Drosophila melanogaster: one gene and its partners. The protein of the gene in region 1 interacts with the protein of each later gene in a pairwise test. Each region holds a gene or a part of one and is shown in the gene's direction. Other genes may lie near its edges.

Evidence for each region.
Region 2: the proteins of CG13337 (region 1) and CG30480 interact in a two-hybrid assay, tested with the Drosophila melanogaster proteins (one large-scale study listed by BioGRID).
Region 3: the proteins of CG13337 (region 1) and CG3294 interact in a two-hybrid assay, tested with the Drosophila melanogaster proteins (one large-scale study listed by BioGRID).

The regions. Positions count from the first base shown.
Region 1 is NT_033778.4:13,660,773-13,671,215, forward strand, and holds CG13337 (uncharacterized protein), read left to right. Parts: upstream 1-4,341; 5' UTR 4,342-4,434; coding exon 4,435-6,477; 3' UTR 6,478-6,984; downstream 6,985-10,443. Other genes in the region: CG6209 (uncharacterized protein), read right to left, coding at 903-2,726; CG18368 (uncharacterized protein), read left to right, coding at 7,083-10,443.
Region 2 is NT_033778.4:14,672,235-14,683,567, reverse strand, and holds CG30480 (uncharacterized protein), read left to right. Parts: upstream 1-5,431; 5' UTR 5,432-5,479; coding exon 5,480-8,242; 3' UTR 8,243-8,268; exon of another isoform or gene 8,269-8,339; 3' UTR 8,340-8,539; coding exon of another isoform or gene 8,540-8,863; 3' UTR 8,864-8,962; downstream 8,963-11,333. Other genes in the region: CG30479 (uncharacterized protein), read left to right, coding at 8,540-8,863; mspo (M-spondin), read left to right, coding at 1-19, 3,396-3,625, 10,492-10,914, 11,183-11,201.
Region 3 is NT_033779.5:4,790,602-4,800,217, forward strand, and holds CG3294 (uncharacterized protein), read left to right. Parts: upstream 1-4,056; 5' UTR 4,057-4,070; coding exon 4,071-4,084; intron 4,085-4,151; coding exon 4,152-4,970; intron 4,971-5,241; coding exon 5,242-5,345; coding exon of another isoform or gene 5,346-5,353; exon of another isoform or gene 5,354-5,374; intron 5,375-5,461; coding exon 5,462-5,618; intron 5,619-5,685; coding exon 5,686-5,962; 3' UTR 5,963-5,980; downstream 5,981-9,616. Other genes in the region: fipi (factor of interpulse interval), read right to left, coding at 3,037-3,079; slf (schlaff), read right to left, coding at 6,475-7,037, 9,145-9,277.

The DNA.
Region 1 (10,443 bases):
ATAACCATTGCACAGGGAAACACGTGTGAAAGGACCTCCACACCGACCGAATGCCTTTCAGCGGGGCCAGGACAAAAACTGTCGCTACATAATCATAATCGTAACCATGATGAAGCAGCGTCGGTGACGACAACTACGACAATGTCGACTGGCTGCCCTCGAGTGTTTTATCCTTGACAAATCCTTGTGCAACAATCAGCAGCAACAGCAACAGCTACGGCTACAGAAACAACTACAGCAGCATCGAAAAAAAAGAGCCTTGTGGAAATGTTACAAGAGCAACGCAAACGGGTGGCAGAATCGTTGACAGTGGCAAATGCGCAGCAAAACGGCTAAATGAGGCCGAGCCTGGTTGAGGAGAAGACTCGACTGAATGAGTAAACTCCACTCGTTAGGCTCCCGTTCGCCCACTTTCCACCTCCGCCGGATGGTAGCCACAAATCGTTGCTTGAAGACGATCTCCCCGACCACCAGGGGCCTTGGCATGATGGATGACAATAAACAAGACAAGCGGGCACAATTGTTTGTCGGCCTCCTCGGCCTTCTCGGCCCACTCTTCATCATCATTGTCCTTCAGCAAGCCTGTACTTAGCGGGTCTGTTGGCATTTCCCCAACCGAACAATAGTGGTTTAGCCGTCCGATGATAAAGCCAGTCTTAAATAGCTTTAATGCTTTAGTGCTGAAAGTAACTTTAATCTGTCAATGCAAAGATACGTACTACATCTGGAATTTTGACTTTAATCGCTCACAAATTTAAATTAAGATACAACTCCAAATTTATTAGGAAAAGATAGATCATTACTTAACTTAAGTATTGAAATTACAGCTGAAATGTATAATAGGTAGGGGACTTCATCTCCCACGCCTCCGATAAGCTTTTCTTTTTTTTATTAATGGCCCACTACTTGCCTTTCTTTTCTTCGCAATTTGCCTCTGCAATCTTTTTCTTCAGCTCATTGCATCGTTTTTTGAATTCGGCTAGATCACAGTCTTTCTTCCGTTCGGATTCTGCTGTCTTTTTCTTTTTCTCGGCTTCACGTGCCTTGTTCTTCTTGGCCTCGGCACATTTCTTTTGAAGCGCGGCCTGTTCGCTTTTCGTCTTTTTCTCGGCCTCTTGAGATTTCTTCTTTTTGTCTTCCTCACACTTTTTCATAGCTGCATCGTTTGCACTATTTTTCTTACGGTCTGATTCTACGCATTTTTTTATCTCCGCCTTTTCTTCGCATTTCTTTTTAGCAGCACCTTCCTCGCATTTCTTTTTTGCTGCTGCTTCTTCGCATTTCTTTTTGGCCGCTGCCTCTTCGCATTTCTTTTTCGCCGCTGCCTCTTCGCATTTCTTTTTGGCCGCTGCCTCTTCACATTTCTTTTTCGCTTCGGCTTCCGCGCAATTCTTTTTAGCTGCTGCTTCTTTACATTTGTTTTTGGCCGCTGATTCTTGGCATTTATTTTTTGGTGCTGATTTTTCGCATTTCTTTTTGGCCGCTGCCTCTTCGCATTTCTTCTTGGCTGCTGCTTCTTCACATTTCTTCTTGGCTGCTGCTTCCTCACATTTCTTCTTGGCTGCTGCTTCCTCGCATTTCTTCTTGGCCGCTGCCTCTTCACATTTCTTCTTGGCTGCTGCTTCTTCGCATTTCTTCTTGGCTGCTGCTTCTTCGCATTTCTTTTTAGCAGCCGCTTCTTCACATTTCTTTTTAGCCTCCAATTCCTCACATTTCTTTTTAGCAGCTGCTTCTTTACATTTTTTATTGAGCTCTGCCTCCTCTTTCTTCTTGCGTTCAGCTTCCTCACGCTGCTTCTTGCACTTGCCCTTTATTTCCTTGAGCAATCGTTTTATCTCAGCTTTCTCTTTGGCCTTTTTCTTCTCAGCTTTGTTCTTTGCGCCAGTTTCGTCGTCCTCACTCGGCTTAGTGCAGTCTAGAGGCTTTCCCTCTTTCTTTTCTCTTTCCTTTCTTTTAGCCTCCTCAATCGCGATTTGTTCAGCGAACTTCTTCTGGTAGACAATCTTCTCGGCGTGAACAATACACGCCTTCTGTATGCCAGAAAGCATGCACTTTACAAGAGAATCTACAGACTTGGGATCACCCTGAGGCTTTGACTTTCTCAATTCTTCGCAGAGGGCCTTGTACTGCTTGCGCTCGCAGTCTTTCTTCTCGGAAGCTAGCATGCAACTGAACTTCAGCTCATCGACGGCTTCGTCTAGATTTGGTTCACTTTGCGATTCTGGAGGGGCTTCAGATTTTGCCGCTTTCTTCTTTTGCTCAAGTAAATGCTTTCTCTTTCTGGATATCCGTGAGCATTTCTTTTTGGGTTCCGGTTTTGGTAACGGCTGCAGTGCGCAGTTTTCATCCTCCAATTTTTTGCAATAGCAACTATCTTTATCGGCCTCTTTGCAAAACGATCGTTGTTGGTTCAGGCATATTTGATCGATGTTTCTTTTAAAAACACGGTCCTTCAGTTGGGATGCTTTGTAGATCCGATGGTGGTAGTAGAATTTTTGCGGTTCTGATTGATCAATTGCTTGATTGATCATGCAATTAGTTTTCATTCGATATTTCGAGCTTAAATCATCATATGCATCGGATTTGTGGCTAAGTATCCTTGGTTGTCCCAAGTAAACGGATACATGGTGCAAATTAGTGCGGGGCTTTAGGAACAATCGGTTCCAACTGGGCTGCTTTAGATGGTACGCGAGAGATCGTGAGAGATGGCGTCCCAAAAACACCATGACTTAAAACGGAATTGCGGAAACTTATAACATCCAATTTTGAACAGTAAGGCTTAGTAAGGCTAAAACTGAAAAGTGCAAGAGCTTACATATTAGCCTGAGACTACTTGAGTCAATTTAAAAAGAGATTTCTTCGGAACATAGAAGAGAACCCTGTGCCATCTTTATTTCGGGGTGTTCTAGCCCTTGGGGCGATTCAAGTGCCTTGGCCCAATTCTTCGCGAATGTGGGCTGAGCGATTCTGTGATTCTCCGAGGATGTTTCCCACCTGCCTGCTGGCCGACATAATAAAGCAATTAAAGTTTTACACTCCGCAGACCCATTTCACATTCGGCGCCCGCTCACATCAACAATGAAATGCGCACTTCCCACCGTGCACATGTGCGCAATTAAAATGTAAACGTGTCAAACACATGGCAGACTGCTCGGGCAGAGCTTTCGTTTAAAAATTAACAGCGACACTGCCGAACAAGTTGCAGAAATTAATGACAACATAAAGGAATTTAAATACGCAATGAGCTCACTGGGTGGGTTGGTCCTGAATTGGGCTGAGTGGGTGGCACTCGTAATTGCGGTGCAAGTTCGTAATGCCGCCGTGAGTGTGCGTGTGTGAGTGCGTGTGGCAGAAAGTTAAAGCACACTTATGTGCGACAGTGCTGCCAAGGTAGGCCAACTCGAACTCACCTGTCTGCTGTTGTCTGCTTGGCGGCGCATGAAGTGAAAATTAATTTCTAAATGCGGGAAATTAACAAATTACAAACAACGCAATGGGGGACTGTGGGTTGGCAGGTGGCGGAAGTAGACATGCCATAATTCACCGCGCATACCCACACAGAGAGAGACACACACACACACACATGGCCATGGAGGCCTCTTCTGTATAGACTGCAAAGTTCGCAGAGCAACTTCCTTATCGAGCGATGGAGTAGCGTGGGGGGGGGGGGACTGAGGAACTCCTGCAAGGTGTTGAAGCACAGGTGAGGCACATTGTCTTGCTTTTCGCCTGGAGCCGTGCCCCACACCTCCAACCCAACCGCCTACCCCGCATACTTCTGGCCGCACTTCAACTCACAAACACTGACAGTTGACAGGTTTGCTAATTTGAAGCAGTACCCCGAAAATGAAGTTAGCGTCTGTCAACGTCTTCTTCGCTGTGATAACGGCGTTTCCAACCCCAACCCCACACCAACAACCCACCCACAAACCGGAAATGCCCAGCCCACCGGCAACAACCCCTTCGTATTCACACCTTTGGTTGCCACAGACGCGCTGCGGTCGCGCTTTTAACATTTAATTAAGTTGTGCTCGATTTTATGTTCGACAAAAGTGTTTGTCTGCCGTTGGCCCCTCGATGGGATGTGTGTGTAACTATGTCGTGGTTGTGGCTCCTCTGCGTTGTTGTCATTTCTGAGGTTTGAGCAAAGATTTGAAAATGGTTGACGCCAGCAAGGAGAGCGTTTCAATGGTGCTCTTCCCAAGGCCCGCAATTCGTGGATATACCAATGTAGATCTATATAAAATATTGCTAGTACTTAAAATGTTTTATGAACCCAGTATTCCATTTTCAACAAAAATTCATGTAGTTTCATTTTAAACAAACAGGGCCAAAAATTTAGTTCTAAATTCGTTTTTTTTTTTTAATTCACGACCATCTAAATTTTTAGTTTTTAGTTTTATGTTCGTGGGGGACTAAGCACGGTTCTTATCAATGGGCTCCAGATTTGGCGGCTGCCTGCTTACGCGGATGTCTGCTCCCCAAGTCCGCGGATCCATTGGCATAGCTTATAAATGGCAGCTGCGCAGATACTGTGACCCACCTCTCATGGACAGCGAAAGGTACAAGTGCGTGAAGGAGCAAAAGGCACTCGCAATGAAGAAAAAGGAGGCGGCCGACAAGAAGGAGGCGGCCAGGAGGGATGCCGACCGCCTAATATGCCAGTTGAAGAAGTGCATCGGGGTCAAGTCGAAGGCGCTGAAGTCAAAAATGGATTGCATGAAGCCGGAGGAGAAGAAGGCCATGGGGGATATGATGGACTGCGTGATGGCCGGCGTCAAGCGAGTCTGTCTGAAGTCGGTGATGCAGAAGTACTGTAGGGAGCAGGAACTTAAGCTACGCTACGAGCGGCTGATCAAGGATAAGAAGATCGAGAAATTAATGAAGGAATGTCCGGTCAAGAAGAAGGGCGACTCTGCGGAAGGGTGCAAGGAGCCAAGAGAGAAAGAGAGATGCAAGGAATCAGAAACTCTTAGGAAATGCATAGCAGATACCACAAAGCTCTTAGAAGCCGAGTTGGAAAGAGAGAGTAAGAAAGAGAAGGAAAAATGTAAAGATAAACCGGAAGTGGATAAATGCAACGATAGGCCAAAGAAAGCGGACGATGCGAAGACTGCAAAGAAAGCAGAAGAATCACTAAAAGCTAAGAAAGGAAAGAATGCCATAATTGATAGCTGTAAGGGAGCACCCAAGGATAAAAGCAAAGAACCGGCGAAAAAAGCTAAGACTTGTGATAAGCCTAAAAAGATTCCGAAAGATAAACGTGCAAAGGACGAAAATAAGGAATCCAAGAAGGAGGAGTGCCCAAAGAAGACCAAGGAAAAACCGAAATGCTCCAAGGGAGATGCAAAAAAATCACCATTCGAGCAGAGGATGGAAGAGTGCGAATACGAAGAATGGAAGGATATATGCAAAGCACAGGAGAAGAATAAGACTGATGTGGCTGCCATAGAAGACTGCCTTAGTGCGCAAATCAAGAAGAGATGCCGTAAGATGGTGATCAAGAAGATGTGTGCCTATTCCTTTGGAGAACCGAAAAAAAAGAATAAGTGCGAGGCAGAAAAGGAATGTGGAGATAGTTGCGTTCAAAAGAAGTGGAAAGAGGCATGCCCCACTATTCAAGATCTCACGGAAAAGAACGACGTAGACTTTAGCGAAGCCTCTAAAGAAGTGAAGAAAATGATGAAAAAGTCCTGCGAAGAGGAAGAAAAAAATAAAGAGTGCGAGATTAAGGAATTACAAGCTAATATCGAAAAGTGTGCAATGAAGAAAAGATGCGCAGACGCAAGACAAAAAATCAAGTGCAATGAAGTAGAGAGAAAGAAAAAGCGAGAGGAGGAGGAGAAAATGAAGAAATGTGAAGAGGAAGCAAAAAATAAAATATGTCAAGTCCTAGTGAAAACACAAGAAGATATTATGAAAGTCGATGGTGAGTTCAAAAAACAATGCAAGAGCGAAGGCTGTAAAAGAGAATGCGATGAGGAAATTAAAAGAAAGTGCATAGAAAACGCTTTCAAAAAATTATGCGAGGTGAGGAAAAAACGTACGGAACTGTTGCAAAGGGAGGAGAAGTTAATGAAAAAGGTCGAAAAAGGAAAATGCGAGAATGAGCAGCAGAAGAAATGCAGAGAGCAAGAACGGAGAAAGAAATGCGAAGAGGAGGAGAAAAAGAAAAAATGCGAAGAGGAAGAGATAAAAGAGAAATGCGAACAGGAACTCCAAAAGCTTAAATGCGCCGAAGAAGCGAAAAAGAGAAAATGCGAGAAACTGAAAAAGAAACTGGAATCGCTTAAGAACGAAGAAAAAGAACTGAACTCCAAGTTAAAAGACCTAAAGGACAAGGAAGAACGATTGAAGAAAGCGGATGAAGAAGAGAAACGGAAAAAATGCGAGGAAGATAGGATTTTGAAAGAATGTGATGAATTCGATCAGAAAGAGAAAGCCGCCGAAGCAGAGGAAAAAAAGAAGAAAAAATAAACCTATCCTGAAATTTAATCTCTTAAAGGAAGAGAACGTATGGCTTGGATAACCTATAATTTGTAACGCAGACAGGTGGACAACTGCGCTTTTAAGGAGCCCAAAATATCATTGCTTGCCCAAGGAGAAAGGCTTAAAGGACCACGGCGGTCGTCAAGGCCGCTTGTCCTTCAGTTGATGCAGCGGATTTCCTACCCTAGGATATATTTCCCTAGATATATGATTTCTAGATTTTCAGACCAGGTAATCGACTGTAGCAACTGGGCTATCGTCCTTGCCACCGTCACCGTGGTCTTGGCCACCTCGCACGACAGCAATGGAAAGTTATGGGTACTGTGAAAAGCGAGTGGTACATTGATCACCTTTGACCCCGTTGCCTTTCTAGTAGACGCCCAGGTCATCAGCATTGTTGTCCATATTTCCTTGTGTTTCGCACTCGAAGTTGTCATGAATTTTATTTCACTTTGCTTAGTTTTTTAATAAAATCTCCAGTGACTGCCCCCACGTAAACTTGGCCTTAGTTTCTTTTTTTTATTAACCATCCAAATTTCATTGGTAACCGCAGCACTTAGAAGGACCCTTCCGCAGCAATCGTGCTCTTTGGAATGTTTCGCAGGTTTATTAACTTGCCGCTAAAACGACTGTGGGTCTGTCATCAACCCAGTCCATACATCCAACCCTGGACCCTGGTAAAGAGCAATGGATCTGCATTTAGTCAGCAGACTACCTTCTTCCAGGATGATCCTCCGATGTCATACGACATTCTCACCAACGATCTCAGCCAAACGGGCTCTTCGCCATCGATAAGACAGGTTCCACAAAAGGTCTGCATTGTGGGCGAAGTTCACAGACTCAAAGTCTGTGGATACAGACACCCTGGCAGCTGTTATTTTATCAGTCAGATGGGACGCCTCTACCATAAAGAATCGGGCAGGGGCAAAAGGGAATCCCGTCCAGACGTCTATCAACGAGCTCGGCGTTTTAGGGAAAGATCGAATGGAAAAATGAACAAACGTCTAAGGGATCTAATGAACGAGGGTGTTGACGGATTAGACAAGGGAATTGAGAAGAACGAAAGGACTAACCGCATGAAGCGGTCTACCAAAAAGAAATACTCGCCGAGTTCCTCTCACAGATCATATCCAGATGATAAGGAGGCGTACCTCGAGTTTAAGGAACCCAAACGTACATTCAGAAATTTTGTTACCATGCTCATGTCAAAGGGTAGAAAAGTAAGGCAACAATTGCAGGAGGGAAAGGATGCCGATCTTCTGAGATACCACTCAGATAACAAGGCTCTAATGCAGCATTATCAAAATAAAAGGAAATACAAACGGCAAATAACGCAAAGAAAGCCAAAGGCAAAGCCACAAGTTCCAAAGGCAAAATATAATGACGATTCGATAGATTGGACCTTTTTCGAAGAATCTTTAAATCCACAGAGGCAAAATAAGTTGGGTCAGGATGCATTTTTCCCGTTAAAAACTAAATCCAAAAGTGTTGGAAGAGCAAACGACAAAGAAATATCTTCACATAACAAACCAATACTTCCTCACTCAATGGAAGTAATAAAGGAACGTGAGGAGAAACTCATAAGTAAAGCCAAGAAGGAAACTGAGGGTCGTCTTCCATGTCTTAGAGAATCTTCTTTCAAGTCTATTAACCAAAAAAATGTGAGTCGAATTGATAACAAAAATATATGCGTAAAATGCATTGATCCACAGGTGCCTTCATCTTCTGCAGAACAGAAAGTGGATTCTAAGAGGGTCAACGGAAATATCATGGACTCATGTTCCCACAATTTGGGTGGTCAGAAAAACGAGTCAGGACCCAAAATGATTCCACCATATGATCAAAAACTAACGGGCTTCTATGACACTTTAAAGAACCGAATTCTGTGTGATAATAGTTCGGAAAAAAAAGATTGTAAAGCTGCACTAAAGCCACCCAATACTGCTGATTGTATCTCGAAAATTCCTTGTTCAAATGCTGCAAACGTGGATAACCAGCCACCATCTTGTCAATCCGGCAACAGCTTGCATAAAGTATTTAAAAGCCGTGTTCACAAAAATCTATGGTGTTCACCTGAAAATGATATCGACAAAGGAGGCATAAAGTCTAAGAAAGATATTGATTTCTCAAAGTTTTTTTCAATGTTAGATGATAAAGACAAGCTGAAATTTCGAGTAGCAGAGCTAATGGTTAGGTGTATGTTCCTGATGGAGAAAAGAATGCAACAGGATTTGAAAGGAAATAAAGTCTGCAATGTTGAGGAAAAGGACAATAATGTAAATCAATTAGTTGAAAATTTCTGGAGGCATTACATACAGTGTTGTGAGTGCCAGAAAAAGGATGCTTGCGCTCTTTCGAATCCATCAATGTTGGGAAATACGGAATATACGGGCATATTAAATAAAGTAGATGTTATTATTAAGCAGTGCACACACATAAAAGAGGTGATCGAAGGACGGTCTCTGAAGAACCAATGTATTAAACACGGTCTAAGCCAAAGCATTGCAGAAGAATTCTACAAAGCTATGGCTAAGCTAGAAAAGATGAGTGCAAATGAAAAACTTAAGACTGAATCTAATGAATTTGGTCTGAATCGAAACTGCGCCATTGAGTCTTTAAAGGATAAGTGTCAAGAAAAAAAGGATTTCGTTGAAGATGTGCTAAAAAATATGTCTTTAGAGTGCAAAACATCTGACAAGTACGAGCAAGACCTTTTGTCAAAAATGAAGCTCGTTATAAAAGAATTGCAAAAAAAGTTAGCAGAAGAAAAGGAAAACATTATAAGCACAAAGCAAAAGGATTTATTTTCTGAAAAATGTGCAGAAGAAGAATTGAAGAGTAAATGTGCTAAAGAAGAACTGAAGGAAAAGTGTGCAATAGAAGAATTAAAGGAGAAATGTGCTGAAGAGGAGTTACGGAAGATGTGTGCAATAGAGGATCTGAAAGAAAAGTGCGCAGAAGAAGAATTGAAAAAAAAATGTGCCAAGGAAAACTTAAAAGAAAAATGTGCCAGAAAAGAATTAAAGAAAGCATGCGCAGAAGAAGAGTTCAGAAGGAAATGTGCAGAAAACGAACTTAAGGAAAAGTGTGCAGAGCAAGAATTAAAGGAAAAATGTGCATTAAAAGAGTTTAGGGAACTTTGTGCGAACGAAGAACTGAAGCAAAAATGCGCAGAAAAAGATTTCAAGGACAAATGTTCGGATGAAAATCTCAAAGAGAGAAGCTCATTAAATGAGCAGCAAAGACAATGCGAAGAATTCTCCTGGAGAAAGAGATGTGCTGAGTTCGCCCTAAAGATGAAGTGTGAAAATAATAATAGAGGCAATTTCTTGAATTCACTAGGAGAGCCAAAGAAATATTCGGATGAGTATAAGAATTCAAAAAAGTTATGTACCGATGAGAAGCCCAAGAAGAACTCTACCGAAAAGGATCAGCATCGCAGTACCTTAGGAAAACTTAAAGAGAAGGTAGGACTTACGGGAAAGGGTAACGGAAATGTGGACAAGTTTATATCAACGAAAGCTAATAAATGGCATCAGTCGTTTGGCAGACGAAAAATATCGGCAAAAGAGGACATTCATAACTGGGGACTTATAAAGAAGATTTTGGACAAGGAAGACAAGGCGATGCGAAACAAGGGACTTCAACATGAAAAAAACTCTGAACTCGAGGGATTAGGTATCTTCTTAAGATCTGCCCTATCAAGACCCAGGAGAAGACCACAACGAGGATTGGAAGACGACCACTGTACGCGTGACAGAAACAGGTTTTTCAATCCACGTCAGTGGTCTTTATTTCCCGGGCTTGCCCCTCTGTACTACCAAAATTTGCGACGGAGTCCTCTGCTGGAGACCAACTTTCTCGTTCGCCAATTGCTTCCCAACCTGAAGCCACTGGCCATCAACGATTACCTCAGTGTGTTCTGGCTCCATCCCTTGAATTCTTGTAACCCTT
Region 2 (11,333 bases), 1.0 Mb from region 1:
CACGTTCCAGTTTATCAAGGTGAGTGGACGCCAAACGGATCCTCGGATTCCCGCTGCAAATGGAAAAGGTTAAACAAGTTAATTAACAGCAAATTAGCAGTCGAAATGCCTTTTTTCCCAACAATTCACACCACTCGGGCAACCATAATGACTTTTTCCAAAAAACCAAAAAAAAAAAAAAAAGAGAAAACCAGTGCGAAAAAATCAAAGTGCTAATGAGCCATTAGCATTACAATGGCGTCAACAGCGTCTACCACATTCGCACAAACGCACACACATAAACAAAGCAACCACTTTTCTCGCCATGCAAACATGTGTAATGGCTGTGCGTGTCTCTCTGCCTGTGTGTGTGTGTATGTTGGTATATCTGTGTGTGTGAGATGGTGTGCGTGTAAAGGGCGTATTCCCTTGGCTGCGTGTTAATGCGCTTTATAAATCAGTTGAGTTCACAGCTTGGATCGTGGAAAAAAAAGGAACGCACGAAATACGAAATGGCCAACGGAAAAAAAAATACGGGAAATAATGATAATTACCTTATAATTATTTGGGCCAAAATAACACGGGCATGCAGAAATGTGCTAAGAGGAAATGTAAACAAATTAAAGCAGTTTGACAACAGTCACGGGCATAGAAATTAATTTTATAGCTTTTTATAGCACACATTTGTGGGCCATTGAATATGCGCAATTAGCTTAAATGGGTGTCGAATTATAATTCATGGGCTTAAATATGACAGTTATGGAAATCATTCCAAATTCTTTAAAATTGGTAAATATTTTGGAAAAGGTTATTGAATTTAAAATGATGGCGCCAGGAAATAAGGTTATTGAAATAATCGCATTTTGAAATTTATTACCATTTTAATAATATTTTGTAGTTGATTTCAATGTGCATCAAAAGGAAGCTATTGAATTGTAATTTGTAGATATGCTAATTATTTGCAAACTTAAAGCGCTATTAGCTGAATTTTATGATGAAAATTAGTTATATTAAAACTCGTTTTAAATATATATGCAAATTATGAGTATCTCAAACGATTTGCTTAAAAAACATTTATGACTGCACATTATATAATTGAAAATAAACTTGATTCAATTATTCTAAACACAGGGGAAAATATCCGATGCTGATTGAATTCGCATATTGCAAAGCAGAACCCTTGAGAGAACCATTTCACTTACCACGCCGAAACATGTCCTGCATTATCCTTATGGAGGCGGCACAGCCGTTTGTGCCATTGTTTTCAAGCGCTGCAATAAACATTATTCTGCACTCCTTAATAAATGCCAATCCATTAGGCCCGCCAGACACAAAGGACAAACGCCAAAGGACCTCAGCCAAACGGCGCTGCAACAAAGAACCCTCAACGGCAGTAAAAACGCCCCAACAGAGCGAAATGGCAATAGCCAGAATAGCCAGAGCAGGACGGGTGGCTATTGGAGCATTGTAATTATATTGCTGGACATCCAAGACATCCAGAAAGTGGCGCACTTACGGCTACAATGCCTTGGGTCGCTCATCAAAATTGCTTTTATGTGTGGCCCAAGGAAGCGCACATAAAATTTATGCCTCGGGCTCCACGTCCATTGCTCCCCCATTTGCTCCCCAGTCCATTGCCAGATGTTTCGACTACGTTTGCATAGTTTATTTCACAGGGGCACTTTATGTATAGATATAGGTATATATAGAAGGGGCAATTGCTACGTGGGCATGGGCGAGTGGGCGTGGCTGCCCACTGTACGTGCGGTCATTATTCTTTATTTGTTGCTGCTGCTCGCCATGCAGCTCGTATTATTGTAACGCCTTTTTGACACTACTAATTTTAGTTTTATTTTCTAGGCTTTTCTCGGAGTGGGCGTGTTGAAGCCTCTACTCTTTTGGGGGGCGTTTTTAGTAGGGTACATTAGCTGTATGGTGGCGTTTGGCATTATATGTTGTTACAGGAATTCAAACAGCAAAACATTATTAACCGATTTAGCTGCTAGTCACATTAATTATGTCCAATTTTGCTTACAATTGATTTTATTGTTTGGAAAATCTAAGGAAATATTCGAATTTATTATAAAACGGAATTGGGCCTTAGTTTATTGTATTTATCATCTAAGAATTCCGCCTTGAGTGCTAAACAGATCTTTATGTTTTCCATTAAACTGCATACCCAGGGCAAAGAAAGTTCGCATTGGTTAAACGAAAGGTCTGTCATTTTATTAGTATCCAAAACGCCCAAGGCTGCCGACTTTTGTTTATGGCCAACAGAATGGAAAGTTATTTACTTATATGCGTTATTTTATGGCCAGCACATGTCCAAGGTCCTAGTGTAATTATGTGTTGATTTGCTTCCTTTGCATTGCCCAACAGCTAAGGGGTAGTTGGGCATTAAATTCTTAAATTCTGAGGCCCGAGACCGAATTGCTGGAATATTTGTGTGTCATTTAGTGAATGGCAAAAGGCACGTAATCTCGGCAGCCGGGAATGCTGAGGGTTTTCACTCGCCGTCTGGGTAATCCACAAGGAATTTCACAGTTTTTCCAGCCCCACCACCCCCTTCCCCTACCAGCGTTCTATCTTTTTTTGTGTGTGCTGGATTATTGTGTATTTTAATGCCACTAAAGCAACACGCGTCTCTCCGCCATTGTTTTGATTTTTTTCCTGAATTTTTCCTGGATTTTTTCGTTTGTTTTTTTTTTTTTTTGTAGTGCCTTAGATTTCTTTTTTTGTATTTTTTCATTGTGGCTTCTGGCGCCGCTGTCGACGCATTTGCAGAATGTAGAATGTAGGTACCAAAAGGTAGACCAAGATAAGCCAGCAAAAAGCGGAGGGGTCTACAATAACAATGCGTATTGTATATAGAAAATGACAGCGGCCCAAACAAATAAATTAAAATGCGCGACAGCGCACCAAACAAAGTTTTTCATACCCTGGAAGTGTCAGTGGGTTGTGGGGAATATTGGTGCGAGGTACACTTTGGTCGCTGGGTTGATTATATGATTATATGAGAAGAATCACTTAAAGTCGCCTTGGTTTTGGTTGGCTCTTTTGTGCTTGTTCTTTGTTCAATGCTCAATAAGACTCGTTGTTAAAGAAAGAGCAAATCTCAGGCAAATCTAGACTGGCGTTTAATACCCTTAGATTCCATAGAGGTTCGTGGCCATTTCATACCTCTGCTGCAACATCAAACCCCCCCCCCTCCCTTTGGCTGTGTCAATATTTGCCACAAATTGAAATTAGCAGCGCGTTAAGAGCACCTGTACTCCCGGTCCTTGGTTGCTCGGCATTCCGCATCCTGTACACGGAGTTGCTGATGCCGGGCACATAATCCCCGTAAATTAATATGCTGCACATGTGTCTGAAGCCGGGGGACTAACATTCCGTCCCTTTGGGCATCCTATTTGCAGCTGAAGGAGTACGAGCTGAGCGAGGTGTTTAACATTGCCGAGGACGATCGCAAGTACGAGACGGTCCAGACCCAGACCCACCTGGACGCGGAGCACAATCACGTGGAGATGAACAACGAGTTGTCCGCCAGCATCGAACGGGAACGACAAACGGAGCAGCAGCAGTTGCAGCAGAACGACGACGAGAGGCAGCGCATTCGGTCCCAGCTGTTGGCCAAAATGAATCCCATGTAAGTGCTACAAATGTGCCATAAGCTATGCTAAAAACCCTGAGAAAAAAAAATCAAAGGGAAATGAAGAGCATATTGTAGAAATGTAATTTAGCAAAGATAAACTTTTAATAGCGCAAATACTCCACAAACTAATACTAATAAAAGTCGACCAAATAAGCTCATGTTAGAGTTGAAAACTTTTTGAAATTGCGATTCGCATTATGCAACATTTTGGGTTAGCAAACAATTCTGAATCAAAGGGATTTTTAAGTTAGCTTTACAATTTTTAATTGACAATTTAAAATTTTTAAACTTTTTTATTAAAATTAAAATATTTTTATTAAAATAAATTGAATATAGTTTTATAGATATTAATATGGTTTATATATAAGCATTTTTAGCTTAACAGTTCAAGGCTCTCCAGTCTCTAGGTCGAATGATAAGCCTTCAAAATAACGAAAAACGAGTCATTTTTTAGAGCCCATTAAAAATTGGTTATCTTATAAGTATCGATTGACAAAAACAAATGATTAATTAATAGATATCACCGAGTTTCCTCGCCACTTGGCCTTTGCCAGACTGCTGAGAATAATACCTAAAAAGTAGAAACAGTTGCCATTCGACAGCTTTAACTGTTTCTTCAGGCCAAGAGTAAGCCTTAAATGGCACGTTTCGTATACGTAATCTGTTTTGGAGTGCAGAGAGCGCTTCAATTGGCCCTATTTAACATATGCGTAGAGTGCTTTCCCCTAACTCAAGACCAACTACTTTCAACACTCCTCCGTCTACATATGCATTCACATATTTAAAGCAACGTGCCAAGCCCCGAGCTGTTGGAAAAACAAGCGAATGGGTGGGTGGGTGTTTTGGTTGGAAGGCAAAGGAAAACAGCTTTCTGGCACACTTCAAAGCACATTACACCGCTTTGGAGGCGTCGGGTGTGGCCCAGAACTAAAGACCGAAAGAGCCGAGGGAGAGTCGCCCGAGTGGCACGTACCTGGGTAATGCTGCATCTTTAAAAAGCCGCCCAATTCCTTGGATCTCACAAAACTCCGGTCGGGGAGAAACTACAACTAATCCCTGCTAACAGTTCCAGTCTCATCCACATCCACATCCACATCTACATCCTCATCCGCATCCCCTTCAGCGCTTGCTGTCTATTTTCGTGCCACTTTTGGCCAAAGCTGCTGGAGTGGATTTTGGCACCATTGGCACTGGTAACCTGCATATTTAATGACAATCCCCACCAGCCAACGGGACGTGTTCGAGTGCCAAGAGCCGGCGAGTGGGCGTTGTCGACTGGCCCCACTTTTCCTGGCACTCTGACAGGGTTGGAAACAAAGGCCGGAGACCCCGACGGATATCAGTTGGGTCTGCCAAATGTGCGGAATACTCGGACCAGTTTGAAAGTAATTACTATCTTATCGAATGCCATGTCGCGGGTGGCCTATAAAAGTAGAGAAATTGCCGGCAATCGGGCAAAGAGTTAAGTGCCAGCAACATGTCCGGAATCCCACCAGCAACCTTCACCGTAATCGCAGGTAGTGCAGCCCACAATCAGCGTCGCAAGAATCGAAATCGGGAACATAGCCAACAGAAGAATTCGACCAGTGAGCATATGGAATTCGCAGTCTAAATTGCGATCAAACATAAACCTTAACAATTTCCAGAGACTGAACCGAATACGGCGGGGTCGAAGACAAATAGTTGCCGCATTGTTTAGATATAGTAACTATCTTATCTGTACAAGGATTTAACGCATGAAAATACATTTCCCATGACATAAACACCGAGTATAAATGGGCCGAACAAAGCATTTGGGGTTTCAGTTAATGGCCCAAACGAAGACGAGACGGCATAATTATCGACAAAATGAAAACGACAATCGTGGAGGAGAGGAGTGTGAATGAAACGATAGAAACAATAGCCACGAGCAGTGGCTCCGTCCAGGAGACAATCGAGATCGTGAATATCGATGGATCTGTAGCACCAAAGCATCGTCACCATCATCACCATCACAGACATCATCATCACCATGAAAGGCAGGAAAATGTTGAAGTTGTGGCAACAGAGGAAGTGATTCTTGTGGAGAACGCACCGAAATCGAGGAAGCATCACCACCACAAGCAGAGGACTTCTCCACCACCGCCCCTGCCGCAAACCTCACCACCATTCCTCACCCCCACTGAAGAAGTGGGTTTCAATGTGGTGTGGGAACCCCAGGCCTTTTGGAACCAGCCCTCACCCAATCCCTCCACTGATCTAGATCTCTCACAGGATAACGAGGTTGTCGATGCAGTGGAGACTATGGACACTACTTCAGCTTCCGATGAATTCACCACTGTTGTTTTTCAATCAGAGACAAAGGAGTCTATTAGGGAAACACAGAAGCACACTAGAGTGGTGGAGGAGGAAATAATAATTGATCAATTGGACCCACCACCCTATGCACCACCGCCACTTCAAGTGCAGACAGGATTCTTTCCAGTGGCTCAGCAGCCCCCACTTTCACCCATCGCAGAAGTGGTGCAAACAGATGTGGTGGCGGAATCGGTGGAACCTCCACTACCGCCTACAGGTTATATTCCCAGAATAAATCTAAAGCCAACGGAAACTATTGTCGAGAATGTCGAGGTCATCGTGCCCGCACAAATTCAACAAGAGCCGGAGTTTATTCCGCAGCCGGGATTTGTGGCCAGAATTGTGGAGAACATAGAAGTTGCCGCAGCATCTAAGTCATCACTGGTTTCACCTCAAAAGAGTTATTATCCTCGGACAGGCATGGTGGAGACGATTGTGGAAGATATTGAAGTGGTAAAAGATGATGCTCCTGTTCAGAGTGGTTATATTCCCGGAAATGTTGAAGTGGAATCGATTGTGGAAAATATAGATGCCGATTCTCCCTTTCTTCTTCCACCCAATGGATTCGCTACTGATGAGTCCATTGTGGAAAACATTGAAGTCTCGACAGATGTAGATGATTCTCCATTTCTGCTTCCAGTTAATGGCTTTGACTCTGAACCAGTCTGTGTGGAATCGATTGTTGAAAATATAGAAGTTACACCTTCTCAACCTGTCCTGCAAATATCAGATCAAAGTGTTGTTCCTGCAGGCTTTGTCGAGTCTGCGGTGGAAGACATACAAGTCATAGAAACGGAAGATCCCCCATTCCTACTGCCGACTGAAAATGACTTTACTGCTCAGGCAGGCAATGTGGAATCCCTGATAGAAAATATAGAAGTAACTACGGAGGTGGATCTCACATTAAGACAATCAGAACAAATAGAAAATCTACCTCGATCTGGTTTCGTGGAATCCATTGTAGAAAACATTGAAGTCACTCAAGAAGTAGATCCCCCACAGCCTGCAGTTCCAAGTGATGTGGTCACTCAGAGTGGTCTAGTAGAATCGATAGTGGAAAACATCGAAGTCACAGAAATAGTGGATATACAAGCTCCGGCTCCACCACAAACTGGATTTGTGGAATCGGTAGTGGAACGTTTAGATGTCACGGAAGAAGTTGAACCTTCAGTGCGACCACCACTTCCACTTAGCTATCCTCCTCGTTCAGGGTTCGTAGAATCTATCGTGGAGAATATAGAAGTAGAACAAGTTACTCCTTCTTATCAACCTCCCCAGCAAATTGTTCCTCAATCAGGTTTTGTAGAAACATTTGTAGAGGATATTGAAATCAAAGAATCTGCGCTACCGCCAATTCAAAATGGATATGCACCCCAAGCAGGAGTAGTTGAAACAATTGTCGAAGAAGTAGAAATCGTACCCGATCCTCCACGTCAATCCATAGTGACAACCGATTATATGCCCCGTGCAAGTTTGGTTCAAGAACTGGTTGTGGAATCACTTGAGGTCACACCAACATCATCGCCTCCACCCGAACAGTTTCCCTTCATTTCCAGAGAGAGCCTAATCGTAGCTGATGATTACGTGGAGGTGGAAGAAGTCACCCCTTACAATACGGCACCACATAGTCCAATAGTGGAAGTGGAAAGATTGAGTGAAGCCGAGTCTTATGTGGAGATTAATGAAGTTGCACCAGTTAATACTCCACCCCAGAGGTCCGTTGAAGTGGGTTTCCTTCCCAGACCCAGCTTAGCCGAAACGGCGGTGGTTGTGGAATCAGTGGAGGTAACTCCAACTCCAACACCGCCACCAAGCCCAGCACTGAAACTCAAAATACCACCGTCGAATCAGATACCATCGGAGGTGATTGTGGACCAACCAGTTCCATCTTCAACTTTCAAGCCACCAGCGAAGCCACTTAACAATTTCATTCTAACTGATCTGGTCATCGACGATCCTCCATTCGTAGAAGTGGTGGAAAGGGAAGTGGTTGTTGAGTCCGCAAACAATGGCCAAGTCACTGAGGTTATCGAAGTCACGGAAGAGATCATACAACCCGTCACACCCATCGGAACTGTTTTGGTGGGGGAGGTATCCGAGCAAAACAGCGACAAATTTGGCAAGCGATATTCCCTAAGTGCGACACTGGCTGATGGACAGCAGCAGGTGCAGGGAAAACCGGAAACGAATCAGTCACCACCGATCCAAAAACGAGATAAACCCACCGAACCACCGAAGCGTAGATGTTGCCAGTGTAAATGCATCATTTCCTAAAGCAGAGGTCAGGGGCTTTCCCCAAGGCAAGTGAATCAGTACAAAACCATATCATATCATAGAAATCTTATCAATAACTGGGTCTTTTTATTATCAGCCTGGGAATGTAAGCTCCACCTATCGCATATCTAATCAGGTAAAACAGAAGACCCTCCAAAAAAAAAAAATCACAGTAATTGATAGTTAATTACCGGCGGACACTCGAGGAAATAGCGTAGATAAGTGGCAAACTCAAGAACCCCAATCGACCCGAAAGTGCTGGTCAGTCAGTCAGTCAGTAGTTAGCCATCGGTCGAGATGCCACCCCCAGGACGCGGATACGGAGGACCACCTCCACGGGGTCCCGGAATCGCCTACGGACCACCGCCACCTCGAGTGAATGTCGGCATCAATATCGGCGGACCACCGCGTCCGCCGCCCATAGGCGTGGGCATCGGCTTTGCTCCGCCACCCGTGGTGGTTGCACCACCGCCACCAACTGTGATCGTCGGAGCACCACCACCACCGCCCATGGTCGTGATGCCGCCGCCACGGCCCACCGTTGTGGTGGGTGGCCAGGCTCCGGTGGCCAGTGTGTATGCCCAGCCGCAAGGAGAGGTTTTCTGCTGCACTATTCTCTGACGAAAAATAGGAAATGAAAAACTGTGCTTCTGTATAGAATTATTCACTACGTGTACATATATGCCTTAAATAAGTAAAATAAAATAGTTAACTCATAGTAAAGTCCACAGTCCATGTTCAATTCAAGTTCAAAATGGCTTAAAAGACATTTTAATGCAATCAAAAATCATTGTCCAGTGTGTTGTTTTAATTTTTGAAGTGTGAACCAATGAAAGTATTAATAAAATGAATGCAAACCATAATTGTATGTTATATAATTAAATACACATATAATAAACTGCTACCCTCACGATTTTCCCATTGCATTTGACCGATGCAAATATTCAATAATCACATTGAAAGCATGACAAATTTCAAACAATTGTCAGTTTAAGTATACAATTTGAGCAAACCAATTATAATATTAATATCAATTTACCGTCGCTTTCCGATTGGGAAAACTAATTCACTTCGGGCCAGAGAGCAATTTCCTCGTCACATGTGTCCAAAGGCTGAGTCACAGTCAGTTTATCGAGCACAGGAAATGCAAATTGCGCCTCAAACAACATTTACTTAATACATTTTGATGTGCTCATCTAACGGTAATTGCCGTGAACATGATCGAAGCAAATTGTCGCTAATAACTTCCATGTTCCATGTTCCAGGCAGGCAGGGCGTTTGCAAAAGGAAAAGGGAATTTGAGTATGGAAAATGCTGTATGTAATTTCAATTTGAGAATTTTCCTCATTATTTTCGTTGGGCCCATGGCGCTTGGCGTCCTTCTCTGGGTATTTCAATATTTTTGCCAATTTATTTGCGCTCCTCCCTCCAATCGTCCCGTTGCTCATCAGAGTTGAGTTTCTGTGCCTGTTCGTCTGCCTTTTGATTTTTTATTATTATTTGCGCGATTTTGCACGCGGCGTGTGTATGCAAATAAACGAAAAACTGCAGGAAACAAAACACGGAAGTTGCCCAGGAAGGAAGGCAGGAAGGAAGGAAGCCAGGCAGCGCCACAGCCAAACGTAGTCTGCAAAATGGGAACTTCGGGGGATTGTGGTTCGCGCGTGGGTCCTCCTCCAGAAGAAAAAAAAAAAGAAACATAAAAAATACCCTCCTGGGTTCCATGGCATAGGGGTCTCCGATTTCGCATTCCGGCCTTTTTGGGCTCTTTGGGCTCACTGTCTGTCAGCCAGCAACACGGCACGAAGGCTGGCTGGCAAAAGGCAAATTTAAATTGAAATTTTCCACAGTTGATGTTCTGAAATAACAAACGTGAGCAGCCAGCGAGCACACCTTTGAAAATGGAAGAGGCGGAGGCACACGGGTCGTATGTGTAATGTGGCAGTCTTTTAGCGTCAGCAAGTTAAGCTACTCTGGTAGAGCAAATCATGAAGGTGGAATATATATATAGCAGATCTAAACCCTTCAAAGAAATTGCTGTGTGAGGCTAAGCAATTTGGAGATTACAAAAATATAATGTTAATTATAAACAAAATTTAGGATTAAGTGCCTAATGGTATCAATTCATTTGCTCGAGCCAACTATAGTATAATAAGTATAATTTGCAGAATTTAAAAACAGGCTGTCTTATTATTTCAAATTGTTTCGTGCAAGACCTAACAAGACCTTTTCACATTATTCACTTGCAGCTATGGCAGCAACAACAGCCTGCAGCCGGCACCTGGTCAGGTGGTCAGTGTGGTGCCGAAGAACGACAAGCATGCGATCCTGCAGAGCATCGCCAGCAGCTATCGGCGTGCCGCAGATGCCAGCGATGCAAACGCCTCCAAACCGACACCATCCGCGATTGGTGGTGGCAAGGCCGGTGGTGCGGTGGGCGGTGGTGCTGCCACCCGCAGGCGGAGCTCCGCGCAGCGTCGTCGTGATTGCCGCGTGAGCCACTGGTCCGAGTGGACGGCCTGCAGCAAAAGTTGCGGCGTCGGCGAGATGCATCGCTACCGCAAGGTCATAAAGCACGGCAAGAGGGGCGGACGACAGTGCCCGGCGCTCCAGCAGTCCAAGTGGTGCGGCACCGAGCGCAACTGTCACGGGTCGCAGACCTATTTTAATTGGTAAGTGTGCCGCGCCGCGGAAAACTCAATCAAATTAGTGTTACACTGCAAACAATTTCAATTCATTAATATTAATTAAATTGGAATTTAATTCAATTTCGCATTTCACATCAAATTTATATACACAATCGAAAAGGGGAAGTCCTTTGTTTTTATATAGATAACACAAAAAATCCATAATAGATTGATATTTTTATATTTTTTTGTTCTTTGACTCACCCCACAAGTATATACAATTAAAATATATATATGTCCGATTCGATTTCAGGTCCGATTCCGACACATGAACGATCCACTTGGCGGAGGCACAGGCGATATAAATATAATTTTAATTTAAGGCGTAAGAATTGCTTTTTCTGTGTGAACAAGAAAGACCAGCCAGGCCGTTAGGAGTGTGGTTCATCCCGCAAGGAGATTTT
Region 3 (9,616 bases), on another chromosome or scaffold:
TCAAAGTTCGGATGCCCGGCAAAAGTTGAACAAATTCAATAGATAACAATGAAGTGAAAGCAAGTGAGTTGAGACCGTTTTGTGGCTGCGGATGATGGAGAGGGCCACTGGAAGAAATCAGGGGCACTTAAGCCTAAAAATCTGTTAATAATCGAGTGTCTACATAGTGCTGGTATATTTATAACTGAATAAATATGGGTCACACATATAAGATTTTTAAAAGGAAAAAAGGTTGATAAGAGACAGAGAAATATCAACTTACAGTGAAGTATGTTATGAATAATTATTCTGCTTACCGATCGAAATAAAGGTAATCCTTATAGATTTCAAACAGGAGATACATTTTTTTTCCTGTGCATCGCATCTGCCTCCCCGAACTCCAACACAGTCATCACCCTTTTTCACGACCCGTTGACAGCGCAAATATGCAAAGTCAAGTGGCAATTTATCATGCTATGCAGTGAAACCGCCCTCCAGGCAGCGCGAGAGTTAAAGGTGGCGGCCCAAACCGCCGCGTGGGGCACTCTGGGGTTAAGTGGCAAACTAAATTGAATCGCCAGCGACGAACCATGCGTGGGCATGTATCTACGCCTACAACTAACAACCCGCGGCCCCAACAAACCCCTCGTCACACTGAAACTGCACATTGGATTTGGAGTGATTTACATGCTGATTTATACACTAGCTAGGTTTTTTTGGTAAAAAGAAATAACTGCGAATTTAAAATAAGTTGCTTCAATTCTGCATTCCAATTTTTGCACTTTCCTGAAAGAACCATATAATTCAATATGAGCTCAGTTAATATTAAATAATTATCTAATTGTTATAAATTCACCGGCATTATCTAGAGCAGGTCCAGTGTCCATAGCTCTGTTTACGGTTCGCTTTGCATTTAAATCGATGCGACGCTGACCTTTCCCTCAATTAAAAGTGCACACCCACCCGGCGATGAGGGCGCACAGTGGCGGTCGAAAGTAATGGGACACTCTTTCACTGGGGGCGTTGCTGTCGACACTTTACCTCATTAGCAGCATCAGCAGCATCGGCCGCTTGTATAATTAATGATTGCGCCCCCTGCCGCAGGCTTCGTATTGATTTTAATTTGTGGAATTTACTGGGTAAATATGATAAATTCGAGATGTACAGAGGGCTTTACTGCGCGAGATGGGACAGCAGCACTTAGCAAAGTAATTAACCAGCCCGATTTGGCAACGACTGCCGCCTGCCAGCTGCCAGCTTGGTCATCCTCAAAGCCAGTTGGTCAGATCGAGCCAGTTGGTCACTTGACAATACGTAACCCAAACCCATGCAACCCCCAAACGGCAGGCGGAAGTGCCCGAGGCAACCGCAAAACAACTCGACTCCATCTACCGACCTCAGGCGTCTCCGGAAATTCACCCTGCCGTTGACAAGCCTCAAGAGAGATCCAACCAAAGACACTCGTCCCAGTCAGTAAGTGACCGCAGCAACAGAAACAGCAACTAAAGGGGGGGGGGGGGGGTTCGCACTGGGAATATGGCGATGTGTCGGTTTCTGGGACGGCGAATGCAACGGAAGGATGCGATGGGCTGCGATGACACTGGCGGCGAAAGGCGGAGTAATATGCGTAATTAAACAAAACCGCAAGTGGGCCAGAGCAACAGCAATAAACGGAATGGGGCGCAAAAAGGATTCAGTTACCAGGGATAAAAGCAAGTGCAGCTGCAGTGTATCCACTCGAAGAATGGTCAAAGTGAAGGGTATATAAACAAGGCGAAGTTGGGAGTCCCTAACTAAGGACATGCACTTGCCCATTATAAAAAAACGTTGCTTACAAAAATGCGAAGTTTATTCATATAAATAGATTTGTTGAGCAAATGAAAATTACATTAATCATTTATGCTTTGCTGAAATAAATAAAACCATTGTTGCCACTTTACTGCGCGACAAGAGGCGACAGCAAATGTTGATACCCTTCGGCGAGAGATGACAGCAGGCTTAAATTAAATATTTGCAAGGACGCAGGACGAAGTGAGCAGAGTGCGGGCCAAAAGGACGAAAGAAATCAAAGAGCAGCGAGCAACGAGAAGCCCAAAAACGCAGCGCCACATAAATGTGGGGCATGCAGATTGAAGTGTCGTCCGGAGACGAGGACCATGGCAAACGGGAAAACGGGAAAATGGTTCCATGGAAAATCAGAGGCATGTGGCAGGCCATGGAAAATGCCATTCAAGTGCGACTTAACACCCCTCAGACAGCTTTTAGGCAGTGAAAATTGATCGAAAGACTAAGAGCAAACATCGTTGACTGACAGCGACTTCAAAAAATCCAACAGAAAGCAGTGAGAACAGCGCAAAAGGGCTGCAAAGCGGCAAGATACTTTCCCAGTATCTTCGAGATACTTCAGCGAAATGTGCAACAATGTGCCAGCATCGATTTTCTATTAGCCACGAGACACTTGAGCCACAAAACTAAATACAGAGGGCAAATATTGATAAATACGTAACGACACGACGACGACGAGGAAGACGGAAAACCACAACAACCACATTATGAATACTACTAAAGCTCGTAACTGTCCATCGACCAGACAAGAACATAATAAACACCGTTCATGGGTCCGAAAATAAAACGCAGAACGTAACTCGGAAGAGGTCGCCACATCCTCATCCCCATCCACATCCCCTCCAGAACTCGATGACCACCTCAGCCAATGTAACACTAGAGCAACAAATGCGGTCAAATCGTTTATTATTGAAAATTAAATGCCCCTTTTAGGCGTACAGAAAAAAATTGTAAGTAAAGAACATATTGTTTTAATTTGCGATATATGTTCTTCTTTCTTTAAGTTTATATTTAAGTTATTTAATTGCATTTCAATAAGTGATGGTTACAAAAATCTACTATTACAACTAATATAGCATCTATGGATTGATAGCATCAAATCCAAAAATATTGTTTTCTAAATATCCCTTAATTGCTAGCTTTAGAATCAGGCTATTTTATGTATTTAGATAACATTTGTTTTCTTTTTCTCCCAGTGTAAGAACCACTTACCTGTTAGGGCTGCCAAATTCAGAATAAATCCAATTAGCCGCATTGCGAGAATCTCAACGAATATGAATTTGAATTCCTGTGGTTACTACACAAAAAACCGTGAATATGCTTGCGACCTGATTACGAGTTCAAAGTGCCAGCGGCGCGAATTATTTCATTTATCTAATATCAAGTTGTGCCGCGAGAATTCACATCAATTGTTTTGACTTAGTTTCGCACAACTCAGTTGGTTTTCCGTGAGCCAAGCTCGGCGATTCGGCGCTTGAGCCGGAGTCCAAATTCCGGACTTCGGATTTCGGAGCCGAGCGCAAAAGGAGAGCTCAGAGAGAAAGCCAGGAGAAAGGCTTTCTCTGGCGACACGAAGTGTAGGTGAACCGACGCGCACGAATTTTACTTTATCACTGAATTTGATTTTTTTTCGCATCTTCGGCAATCGCCGGACACAATGTTGCTGGCAACATTGTTGCAGAGGGGAATTTTCGAGTTCGAAAGTTTCTGGTTCGATGGAAGGGGGAATTGAGAAAAAGCTTGAATAAACGGTTCAATTCAAAATATACAAATCTGATAAACAAGAAAATATTCAAACTAAGCGCTTCTATTAAATTTTAAAAGCTCTTCGACACAGTGCTATAAAAATCACATAACATAATTTATAGCAGTGTAAGTTGAACTGAGGCTTTTGGCATTGTGCTATACAGCAATGTTATTTTACATTTTATAGCAAGAACGAAACTTGGTGTTATATTAGACTGTTATAATTTATAATAAATTTTGAATTACAAAAATCGTAAGAATTCGTAAATTTTAAACATTTATGATATGAAATCTTAATTTTGAGGGAAAACTTACAAAACATTTTTGATTTGCCAGATTTATGAAAACTTTGAAAAATATGTAAATGTAAAAATGTAATTTTTTTCGTGCTGCAGTATTTTGTGGTATTTTTCATAGACCCTGTACACGGTATTAATCAGCTGTGTTCTCACAAATGCGTTTCAGCTGCTCACCGAAATTCAATGTTTTGATTTTGCGAAATGCCGGGAAGGAAGTAAATAACTATAAATTTGTTTAAATATAATGTATAATTTAATTTAATGTATATAATTTATACAAAGGGCACGGCGAAAGTTAATCAAGAAGCAGCAGAGGAAGCGGCGTCGTCAAAAACATGCCAAAGAACGTGATAAACTGGAGGAAGAGGCGGAAAACCAAAGACTTATGCAGCCGGAGTACCAGAAATGGTCGCAGGAACAGGAGGAAATGCAGGAATTCCAACGACTAGCCGACGAACGGGAGCGCCAGTTGGCGGAGGAGTCCTGGCTGCGACGCGAAGCCACAGCGCAGCGACAATTCCAAATGGACGAGGCGAAGAAGCGTCAGGAGCAGGAGGAAGTGGAGCGTTTGCAGCGGGAACAGGCGAAAGAGCGGGCGGAACGGGAGGAGAGACAGCGGAAGCAGCGCGAGGAAGAGACACGAAAAGCCGCCAAGGCTGCCGCCGAATTCGATGCCATGATGGAGAGCATGGATGAGTATCTGAACAACCCGCGTATCGAGAAGCCACCCAGCCACCTTCTGCGTGTAATGGAGACGCATCCGGAGGAACGAGCCTGCGAGTTCTTTAGCCGCACCAACTGTTGCCGCTACGGTCACGCCTGCACCTTCAACCATCGCCGCCCGATGCTGGGAAGGATCCTTCTCATCCGGCACTTCTTCAACCATTCCATGCTGCAGAAGCGATGCACGCACAAGGAGTACGCCTCGGCGGAGGAACACCTGGAATTGACCGAACAGGATCTGCGCCACGACTACGATGAGTTCTTCAACGATGTCGTCGAAGAACTGAGAAAGTTCGGCACCATTGTCAACTTCCGCACGGTGCGCAATACGCTGGAACACCTCAGGGGTCACGTCTTTGTGGAGTACACAAACGAACGGTTTGTCTGAGAGTATTAATTATCATTATTATTATTTAATTAATATGACATTGTTTATATGCAAGCAATTCGGATATTCAAATGCAGCCTATTTCCCAGCATTTTCATGTAAAAGTTAATTCATATAATTCACAATTTTAATTTATACCTGTTCTCTCGCCAAAAAATATATATATTGTATTGTCTCTGCGCTTGCATACTTTTATGTTATGTTAATAATGTCTAAAGAGGTCATAAACTAATTATTATAAAGCGTACGTCATGATTTCAGATCTGCACTTCGCGCATTTACCAATCTCCAAGGTCGCTACTACGCCTCCAAGCGACTAAACGTGGAGTTCTCCAATCTGAGGACCTGGCGCGGCGCAGTCTGCGGTACGTGAACTGCATGCCAAGAGGAAGCCGTATCCTTTAAAAAACCAAAACTCAAAGCAAGCCCATTCATATGTTTTAATACCATTTTCTTTAACACAATCTGTGACTTCTTAAAGGTTTGTCCTTAACACGTAAATGTCCCAAAGGTAACGACTGCGGCTATCTGCACCTGTTTGGCAATCCGAACAACCTGTTCAACACGGAACTGGAGTACACCAGCGGTCCACGCAGTGAACGACGCTCCAGCCAAACTCCAACGGCCAAGACACCCAGGTGGATTTAAATATAATATTAGTTTATATTCCGGCAAACTATTTAAATACTTTCCCTATCTCTTCAGTTGGGATGAGCACAGCGAGCACGGCAGGAACTGGCGCTGGTCGGCAAGCCCCGAGGTTGAACTGGAAAACTCCAAGGACTTGGGCAACCGAGGTCGGGATCTCAAAAACAACCAACAGCGGAATCATCATTCCAGGTCAAGAAGTGACCGGAGTTCCGTGCGCTCTAAAAGAGAGCACAGCTCCTCGGGATCTTCACATGACGATCGCAGATCAAAGAGGCATCATCATCATCACAACTCCACAACACCCGATCATCAGCACAACCATTGCCAATAAAAACCAAAGTATTAATTCAAGTGTTTTCTTTTTTATGGGATCTTTACAAAATTTTATTCAATCTCTTTGTGGACAAAACATGAGTGTCTCAAACAAAATACTAAAGAGATTCCGAATTTCTTGCTTGAATGACAGACAGTGGGTCAGAGCGAAACACTTGCAATTTAGGATTGCCTATAAATATTTAAGGTGCGATCTGAAAACGACTCAACTGTTTACAACGGAATAGAATTCTACGCGTAAAATTGGCAGTTTCGAAGGTAGGGAGGAAGGAGAAGTGAGACTAAGTGCTGGGTGCTAAGGTGTGATGAAAGCAGTATTGTGGATTTGGTGGGTGGGTGGTTTTGTGGTGTTTGTAGGATCGGAAATTGTAAATTCTAAAGTCTATTTGTCTTGCTTTCTTCCGTTTTCGTCGTACACATACAAACAAAAATTATACAAAAACTCGTTTAAGGAATATTATAATAAGTAGCTTTAAAATTAGGCAAACAGCGAACGCCCAGCGAGCCGCTCTATAGACGGATGCCGGGATTCGTGGCCGCCACATAGCGCAGCAGCTCCTCGTTGTCCTCACAGATGACGGGCTTCTCGTGGTAGCAGGCCACGTCGTGCCAGGCGATGCCATCGTTGTACACGTTGTTCAACACGGACAGGCACTGCTCCTTGGTCTGGTTGATGTCGTATTCGGCGTTGTCCGGCTGCGGGCGCTTCTTGTGGCCAGTCTGCGACCATGGGTTGTAGCCCCAGCCCTGTGGGATGCGGTTGGTGGCCTGGATCTTCTCGCGGGTTGCGGACCAGAACCATCCATAGACGGTCTTGGGCTCCAAATCTGGACGATTCTCGCAGCCAGCAAAGTCACAGATACGTCCGGCCGTCCAGATGTACGGCACATCGTTCTGCTGGATCACGCGGAAGATCAGATTGTTCTTCTCCTGAGTCTCCAGGGCGACCAGATCCATGCAGTACTCGCGGCACAGATTGCGACCATCCAACCAATCGACCTTCTTGTTGGCCAGCGCGGGCACGTGGGTGGTTAGGAACATGTTTTTGCCGCGGTAGGAGAACTCCTTGGGACCTGCGGGTCAGCGAGGAGAAAGTCGGTTAGCGGAAACTGTTTTCATGCTTGCACTGAGAAAATAGTAGGGGTATGTTATGGCTTTCCAAAATATATAAAAAATAATTTAACTATTGAATAATAGTAGACCTTTGAACTTTAAGATTCAAACTTAGATGCATTTTTCCTTTGCTTCCGAATTAACTAATTTTTTTCCCGTGTGGGTGTGGCATGTGGCAACCGGTTTTCCGCGCCGCTGCAGCCTCATCTTCATCTCCATCTCCATCTGAAGTCGGAGGCCCAGTGCAATATCTCACAGCCTGCCCCATCATGGGCAAACGAAACCGAAAGCGAGTAGCGCCGAAAATCAAGAGATACTATATATACCAATGTGGATGCCAGTGGATGAAGCTGCCCCGGGCCTTACACAACTTCCCCGGTGGCGGCGTGTTACGCAATCCGCGCAATTTATGCAGCATGCTTCTTTTTGCGCCTGCCGCCGACGCCGCCGCTTTCCTTTTGTCTTGGGTGTCAAAAGGTTTTCAGCTTCCCCGCGTATATATTTGCTTTTTAGCTTATTTTTTTTTTCGAGGAAACAATGGGATCCCCCGCCTGACAACTCCATCCTCGAACTTGTTTCGCCTGAGCAAGCTGCCAACTGCCAGCTACCAACTACCAACTGCCAGCTACCATTTGATTAGCTGCCTCTTTGGAAGTCTTCGCAATGTGCGATATGTCCGCCCCTCGGACGCGCCCAAAAAAAAAAAAAAAAAAAACTGAGTAAAGATATACCCGCCTGTTGCCACAGTTGGCACGCGTCATTAGCCCCGCTTTAGGCCACTTTTGCAACTGCCCCCCTGCCACGCCTCTTCGCAGGCGGGCAACGCTAAGCGTCAAATCAGCTTAAGTCCAACACATAATAGCCTTATTGGCCATTGTTTGCACATTATTATTTATTTTGCTGCCGCTTCGGCTGCCACTTGCCATTTCCTCACATTTCTGGCCCTTTTTGTGCGCGGGTCAAGGCGATAATGTGGCTAAAACTCATCTTGACTGTATGTATATATACATATATGTATATATATTTTCCTAACCCGAAACTTGCGTAATAATCCGGGTGTCGATGCCGTTTTTTTTTTTTTTTTCGATTGGCATCTTTCAACAGTGAGTTAGAAAAACCGAAACGTTTTCGAATCTTAATTATCGGGCGAATGCACGCCTGAGAGAGTTGTCTACAAAAAGGTAATTAAGTGGAATTATTAATCAGGTGATTTAACTATTGGAAGGCAGACCTAAAAAACCTGCGCTTGTATAACTGGAATTTTCTAAGAGATGAAAGATCTAAGTCGCTGCCAACGGCACTGGCTTCAAAAAACTGGATATGCAACTCCGGTGACGCCCCAAAAATTAAGTTGCATGTTTAACGGCTTTGGCTAAGTCTCAATGTGTGCATGTATGTATGTGTTAGCAATACGTTAGTGTGTGCGCCGGTGTGAGTTAGGGCTTGTCTAATTAGCAATAACTGCAAAGTGTTCATTAGTGTACCGGATATGCAGCGATGATGCTATTGTTCAGGCGTCTCGCCCGTTTTAGCCCGATCTCTAAGCCCTGATGCAATGGTTAGTAATCTCAGGCGATGACTGGCAGCGACAATCATACGTAGAATAAATGAGGAAAATCCACTTCAACTGAACTATTTGCTTGTTAAGCCCCTTCGGATTTCAACAATTATCAGCTTAAAAGTGCAGAGGAAATCAATTAATTTGATGGCGAACAACTCCATTTACACATTAACATTAGATATAATAAATTTAAAAAATATATATAATATATACTATATCAAATGGAATTTGTTTACGAAAAAGGCGGGCAAAGAAAGTGAGTCTTATAGGGCGCCATAAAGCTGGCTCACACGTCGACGACCTTCAGCAAAAAAAAAAAAAAAAAATCCCCTCAACATTTGTGGTTACACCAACAGCTACACGTCGCATTGCCAAACTATTTCAAGTGCAAACTTGGCAATCAAAGCCGCTTAATATTCTCGCCGCGTTCGTCACTTTTACTTTTCGCCATTGTGGGATTGGTTTCGGGTATGTGTGCAATGGTGTTTGATGATAGATATACTTACGGCTAGCGCACTTGGCGGGCACGGGCAGTGAGAGGAAGCGACCCGGCTTGGTCGCTGTTGTCGTTGTGGTTCTGGCCGCATGGCTGCAGGCCATCACCACGCAGAAAGTCGCTATTGCCAGGGTGACTTTCATCTGGAACGCAAAGAGAGAGAAAAGTTGTTAAAACATGAAACTTGAATTATTGGTAAGACAAAGTGCCAGGCCATATGCGATTTGGCAAGTAACTGGTACAGGTACAGATATAGATATGCAAATTGTTAACACGTTGTCATTAACATAAATTTGTACACGATTATCGAGCGATAACGATGCCGCGCCCTTTTGTTCGCCACCACCTCTGCCCATATTGCGTATACGCAATTTCGTATAAATTTTTCAGCTCGCTGGTCAATACGATCCGCATCGATCCGAAGATGTAAGCTGCTGGTCGAGATCGCTTTTTTATGTCAAGGATGCGCAACCGGTTGCCCC